Drosophila melanogaster: one gene and its partner. The protein of the gene in region 1 interacts with the protein of each later gene in a pairwise test. Each region holds a gene or a part of one and is shown on either strand. Other genes may lie near its edges.

What was found. The genes of interacting proteins can lie anywhere in the genome.
Region 2: the proteins of Vlet (region 1) and Setd3 interact in a two-hybrid assay, tested with the Drosophila melanogaster proteins (one large-scale study listed by BioGRID).

The regions. Positions count from the first base shown.
Region 1 is NC_004354.4:11,676,734-11,680,321, forward strand, and holds Vlet (valette), read right to left. Parts: upstream 1,819-3,588; 5' UTR 1,702-1,818; coding exon 1,670-1,701; exon of another isoform or gene 1,617-1,669; coding exon 932-1,616; 3' UTR 611-931; downstream 1-610. UniProt on the Drosophila melanogaster protein: Scaffold protein in the commander complex that is essential for endosomal recycling of transmembrane cargos; the commander complex is composed of the CCC subcomplex and the retriever subcomplex.
Region 2 is NC_004354.4:6,967,027-6,970,781, reverse strand, and holds the start of Setd3 (SET domain containing 3), read left to right. Parts: upstream 1-2,031; 5' UTR 2,032-2,189; coding exon 2,190-3,058; exon of another isoform or gene 3,059-3,755. Other genes in the region: CG4586 (uncharacterized protein), read right to left, coding at 1-764. UniProt on the Drosophila melanogaster protein: Protein-histidine N-methyltransferase that specifically mediates 3-methylhistidine (tele-methylhistidine) methylation of actin at 'His-74'.

The DNA of each region.
Region 1 (3,588 bases):
ACCAATATAATTAAACAGAATCCCACGCAAACTGAAGACTAACTAACAACCAAGTTAAGGGCTAGTTAATGGAGCCGGTGCCAAAGCAAAAAAGGAAAAATGATAACAACACCTACACACACGACAACTAAATGTAACAATAGCAATACATTTTAATGAAAATTGTAGTCCAAATAATTTGCATACATTTGTATTTTGTCCAAACTTAGTTGAAATGATTAACCGAACTGTGAAAGAGTGCAATAGAAATCGTTTTGCTTCTAGATTAGTGAAAAATACAACGAAGCCCCTAATTTGAATACGAAGCAACCCAAAATCCCCGCCCTCCCGTAATAACAATAAATACATATGCATAATTATGCAAAAGTTTGAGAAGATGAAACTAGAAAGTCTGTATAATGCATACATAATATACGACTCCATTATACACACACACACGCATACTAAGGCCGATGAATAACATATGCATATACAATATAGACATATATTAAATATATATCATTGTAATAATTTGTAATGTTTATCAGTAGAATTATGATCCGAGGTGGAGCAGACGAGTAAAACGCATGCAGAGATCCATTAAAGTGTACTGTAAAATGTGCCACACATTGTTTTATCTAAATTTATTAAAGGATTTATTATTTTGCAGAGGGTAAGTTCTAAAACTTAAAAACTAGTCCTGTTTGGAAGATCCTAATCATTGCAACGTTTTATAAATCAAAGCCGAACTCTTACTCTAGTAAAAATTTGGCTACGTTCGGAAAATTAGCCAGAACATAGGAAAAACCCTACTGAATTAAACAAAAAAAAACGTGTTTAACATTTGGCTACGATCGTGTTAGTATTGCATACTTTTAGGTCCATCTTTTTGCACAGAGTTTTGTGTGAATCAACAATAAAATTGGCACTGGAATTGGTCGATGGCGTCCCACTACTGATTGCCAGGCGCCGTTGCTCCTGTAGTCTTCATGGCCAGCATGGCGTCCAGTTCGCCCTGGATGCTCTCGAACTGATTGTACAGTTCCATTAGTTCCGGTTGTGTCATTTCGATGTTGATATCCTCGCCGACGGCCGTTTTCATTTGGAGCACGGCCAGCGGGGTCTTCTCCCGCTGCTGGCAATGCGAGGAGATCTCCATGTTGAGCTTCCAGGCCACATCTTCGATGACATTTGATTCGTACCGCTTGCTGGCCAAATTGTTCATAATGGGCGTCGTTTCGCGCACCCACAAACGCAATATGGCATCGATCTTGGCCTCATCCTCCAGCTGGAGTTTCTCGCGCAGCTCACGCTGCAGCAAACTTGGCTTGATGATAAACGTGGAGATGCGACGCAGGATGTAGGAGAAGGTCTTGATCAGCAGCAGGAAGTCCTGACGCGGTACGCCCACCAATCGCTCCAGTTCCTCGAGTGTGTACTCCGGTTCGGTGTTACTTGTGGGGTTCTCCTCGGTGCTGCTGTCCACCCGGCCGGTGGTCGTCACACTGGTGCCCACTGTACTACTGGTGGCACTCGCCGATGCTACGCTGGGACTCATCTGCCGGTGGGTGTAGAACAGAACCGTCGTAAAGGTCTCGTAGGGCAAGGCATTGATGATTTTGATGCCCTCACGGGCTCTAAGATATAAATGCAAGAAATTAATCTCTATAAGAACATTGATATTACATACCTTTCCGTGATCTTTATCCAGTTAATGCTCATTGTGAGATATATTTAAAAATTTTTAAGGAACATAGAGTTATTAAGTCTTTACCAGCACTTCTTTTATTATGACTTTAATATTATTTGTTTATACAGACCAACAATATACAAAAAACTATCGACTTGCCACGGTGCGGTGCTGCCACACAGTTACTACTGCCAATAATAACGGTAAGTGCTGACTAAAATACAAAAATATTACATTTTGCGATGTGATTTTAAACATATTCTTTATTAATTTTTTAGATTTAAATGTTTTATTAAATTAATTTATTTTTCTGTATTTAGGCCTGAATAATTTACCTTATAAAATTACAATGTTTTAAATAATATTTGCTGTTATGTTTCCTGCAAAATAAAATTCGTGAAAAAAAGCCGCACCAGCAAATATCAATACCAGATTGTCGACGGCACCGACGATCGACGATTCAATTTGTAGAAGATTATCAAGTACGAATAGTTTTCCAACTCATTAATATAATCGTCCTACCTGGCAACTCCGCTGATGCCTATCGATGCTCCGCTCGATAGCGCCAACAATCGATAAGCAGTATTTGTGTATTGGAAACGCGGCTTAACTTAATGCAGATTTTTCCGCTGATTCGGCTGCGAAAGATGCACTTTTAAGGCGCAGCGAGTGCACCCACGCCCCGAGTTCGAGTGCAGTTGCAGTCGGGAAAGCTTGACAAGTGCGCGGAGCAAGGAGAGCGACGAGTTCGTTGAGCTACAGCGAAACGGAAAAGTGTAAAAGCGGGGTAAACAGGCGCAGCGGAGCGGATGATAAACGGAACTCGGGATCGGAAAATTGGAAGCAAAACCAACCACCGATTATAAAAAATAGTCAGCATCTTAAAAGTAAGGATTTCAAGCTAAGGTTTCAGCGAAAGCCCGAGAAAAACAAAAACCCCAACTAAACTAACGGAACAGTGCGTCGGGATATATGCATGTGTATGTGGTATACGTATGTGTGTCTTTGGCTGCGTGCGATTGTATTGTTCCTGTGTAAATAAACAAAACCCGGCTCTTTAGTCTTCCACTAGTTCGTTTCGCGTTTCTCTGCGAGGAATTTTTGTTGAAAAAACTCAATTTGGCATAGCATAACTTCCAGTTTATTTCCCTATTCTGCAAACTGTGTGTATCAGTGTGCTGGTGCTTCCAGCATGCCGTAAAAATCGATAGCGCGTCGTCGGTTGTTTATTTTATGCTTCGTCTGCATTTTGCAGCCCCTTTTTATCGCTCTCCCCTTTTCAGCCACCCTTGCACACACTCACACTCTCTCCGGCGGAGTCGTGTGATGCATACACACACACACACACAGACACATGCATACGCCTGATACGGGAAATTAAAAATAATACTTTTTATCGCGGCATGCAAAAGGCAAAGCTGCAAAAACAGAAACAATTCCAATTCCAACAGCAATAATCTAGCCATGCAATCAATTTTAGCCAAACAATAAAAAGAATCGTTTGGTTTCAGTTTCCCCGCTTTTCTTTTCCGTTATTTTCCTCTCTATATTCGGTTTTATCGCATTTTCCGCTCATTATGGCAGTTTAGCATATTTATGCTGGAAAAATATTGGGGTTTCTTCGCTTCTTACCTTTGTTTTACGTTTTGTTTTGCTGTCGGGCTGTAAAAACAGCAGTTAATCCAATTAAGAAAAATAAAACTCTAAATGCCATCGCCACCACGAATTCGAAATCACCTTTTATCTACTCAAAAGATATTCATCTTATTTATTTTCCAAGATAAATGTTAAATTATAAATATATTATAGAACCATACACTTGTTGAAATAGAATTTCTGCTAACAGCTGCGAGTTTTACAGTCATAACTATTATTATTATTTATTAACTTAGATTTCTACAGGCTGCGATTTTATAAAA
Region 2 (3,755 bases), 4.7 Mb from region 1:
TTGTTAACGCCATTGCCACCCAGGCGAGGTCCTATATCGCCCACATCGACTCCAGTCAACGGTTCGTGTGTCCTCTCGTCCCTGATCCTCACCACAAATGATTGCAAGCCATAATGCTTGCCCTTCACATATAGCTGGGCCAGCACAATGGCCACATTGGCGGTATTACCAAGTCCGCCGGGCCACCACTTGTATGAACTTTGCGTTGGGGTGTTCAGGATGAATTCCTGCGTGATGGGATCGTAGTCGGCTCGGGTTTCCAGGCCCCGGACAAAGGTGCCGTGACCCAGCTCCGTTTGCGCATAGGTGCCCAGGACGCCGTCCATGTGCCAGGATCGATTGAGCCACTGGGCCTGCTGCTCCTCGGTTCCCTGGCTCAGCAAGGTGGTCATGAACATGGAGAAATGCACCCGAAGGGGGAAGCTCTGCTGGAAGAGGCCCGTGCCCAGGGATCCGGAGAGTAGCAGCCGAAAGTCCCTCAGCATATTCACACTAAGCTGAAGTTGTGGCTGCTTCTCCCGCTGCCATTGGCGCAGTTTGGCCAGGAAGCGTGTGGATCGGGCCACGGTCTGTTCGTAGCGCTCCTTGTATGACAGACAGCTCGGATGCACTGGCTCCGCGAAGTCGGGATCCTCATAGAAACGCCTTTCCAGGGCGCGGCGCTCCTCCAGCTGCCCAGAGCCACCCGCCCACCAGCGGGCAAAGTCCTCGCTGTCCAAGGTGGCCGCCGCCCGCTCTCTCTGCAGATCCGCATTCACAGACATGATCGCTCTATCTCTCCTTCCCGATCTCTCTTTTCCTAGAGTTTTACTTTTCTACGGGATTTCCCAACTTCTCTGCTCGAACGACTCGATTGCACTGAGAAGTTGGTGGCTGGAAGAAACAGTTCTGCAGCTCGAAACATGGCAGCCAGGTCACCAAAGGCGGGGATAGCAGGGGAATATGGTTGGTTATCAGTGATCCGAAATTAAAGATGAGTTGCCAATTAATATACCGGGATTCTTTATACATTTACCACATTATACTCATAAAGGATGCAGTGTATAAGCTATTTATGGATAACTTATACAGAAGAGGCGATCTGGAACCCCTTTGGATGGTCCATCCTGCCTACGCCTTTGGAGCCCCACCACTGCCTCTCTTTCGCGCTCTGCCCGCTGGTGCTCCAACCGCCGTTGTTGCTGCATTGGAGTCACTGAACTGAGAACTGAGCCACTCTCAAATTGCTTGAGCGCCTTAGGGTGGACCATATTCCGTATTTGTCGAAAGTTTCTCAAACTGCGTCTTTCTTACAAGATGCACTTATCATGTTTTAGATTTCGTATCCTAGGTTGTATATTTGGACGGAATTTGTTTCTTACTATTAACTCAAACGCTGATTTGTGTGTTGGTCCACCCTAGCCAAAAATGGCACAAAGTGCGTAAACATCTGATGAGCGGCATTATCTCCTAGTTTTTTAGTTCAAGTTTTTTTTACCGTAGATAAGAAAATCGTAAATATTTCTTGTTGTTTTTGTTTTGCAAAAACCCACAAAGCTCAACAAACAATTATTTCTTTTTCGTACAATAACATTTTTATTTCGTGGATTTCTTGTTATCAACATAACGTTTCTCAATTGGATGACGTTTAGAAAATCTAAGATAACCCTATGGGCCATTGTCAAATTGTTTATAAATAGAAACTAAAAGACATGGAAAGAGCGATTTTATTTATATAAATAAATAAATATATTATTATACATACGAGCTTCTGCAACCTGGATTTTAGGACAAATTCTCAATTTAAATTTCCCGCTCTTCAAGAATGCAACATAAAATATAAAAAAACACTGGCCATTTTAATAACTATAAAGAGTAATTATTATAATATTATTGATGTGCCAAAAATGCAACGTGAATTACAATTTATTTTACAAGAAAACATAAGTTTTGTAATAAAAAAAAGCTTAGGAGTACCCCTATTAAAAAGTTTTCAGCATAAAAGCTCGTCGAATGTGTGACCAATTGTCGGAGTAATTTAGTGGCGCCCGACGAATGGCCACACTGCCGGCCAGCTGATCGCCCGCGTGCAGATTTCTCGACTTTATTTTCCTTATTTGGCTGTTGTTGTTTTGGGCCGCCGGTACCGCTTAGCTTTCTGTCTTCCTCTCTCTCTGTCTTTCTCTCTCGCTCCCACCAACGGCACCGCCATGGGTAAGAACACGAAGCGCAACAAGAAGACAAAACAGCAGCAACAGCAGCCACAACAAAACGGAGTAACTGCATCCGCATCCGGCACAGCAGTCGAGGATTTTGAGGACCAGCAGGCGGCCAGTTCGTTGCCCAGTTTAAACGGCAAAAAGAGGAGCCAACTAAACAAGCTCGTCGAGGAACTGCTTGACTTGGTGGAAAAGCAACCGGCGAATCCCAACGAGGAATGGAAGCAGTACGGGCAGCTACAGGAGCTGCTCAAACAAATCATGATCCTGGAGGAGCCACTCAGCCAAGCAGTGTGTCCGCAGATCAGCGATTCCCCCGACGATCAGACCCGTCTGGCCAAAGTGGAGGCGTTCAGTGCGTGGGCCAAAGATGGCGGAGTTCACAGTGAGGGACTGGAGATAGCCATCTTTCCCGGCTACCAACTGGGTCTGCGGGCCACCCGACCGTTGGCCAAGGATGAGCTGGTGCTCAGCGTGCCCCGGAAGCTCATCTTATCCGAGGAAAACAACTCCGATTGCCGCCTATTTGGCAAAATGACGCAGGCCACCCACTTGAACCTGGCCTATGATCTGGTCATCGAGAAGATCCGTGGCGAGTTCAGCGAGTGGCGGCCCTACATTGATGTTCTGCCTGCCAAATACAACACCGTGCTATACTTTACCACCAAGCAGATGGAGCTCCTCCGGGGCACCGCTGCAGCCGCTCTGGCAATGCGTCAGTGTCGCGTCATCGCCAAGCAGTACGCCTTCCTCTACAAGTACGCCCACACCATGACTGAGCCGAGCACCGGGAACAGGAGCCATCCGGGCGAAAGAGGCCTCTTTTTCACGCAGCACGGACTCTGCTACAAGCTATACAGGTGAGTTTCGATTGAGATTTGGGATTGCAATAAAGGTGCTAAAGGTGCCTTAAAAAAATATCGCTACTTTTAAAGTTTGTTCTACTAAGTTTAAGAAGAAATATGATTCTGTGCTAAAAAGATGGCTTAAGGCCAAGTTTTCTGCTCTGAAGATCTTTTCAGTTGGCCTAGAAATAGAAATATTGTATACCTTTCCGGAATTCCATTTTTAAATCCTGCCCTCGTGTTGATCTTTCCCTAAGTGTGTTTTTCGGTTTAGTTTGGGCTTGTTTTTGCTGCAGAGAGGCCTCTGAATCTGCCAGTTGTCCCACTGGCCATAAATTACATGTTCACTTACAGCTGGTGCTGTTTGTTTTAAAGCGAGAGTAGATGCATATGGCCAGATTGCCCGACCATTGTTGACCTTCCCGTCTGGCATTGTGATCGCATTGTTTTGCCGAAGATCTACGATCTATTTACGGATCCGCTTCCACTTGCGACGGCTGGGTCATGGTGCACTGGGATGGGTCTGGTTGTGGTTGTGGTTCTGGTTCTCCACTCGCTTCTGTATTTATAGTGCCGCGATTTCGACACCAATCTTCGGTTGTGGTCGAAAACCCCAGCGAGTCATGCGGTTAGTCAAGTGCTTTCGAAATGCTTGAAATCTTTGCCACAATTTGTTCTACATTTTATTTCTCAAAAAAATCAAATTGAAACT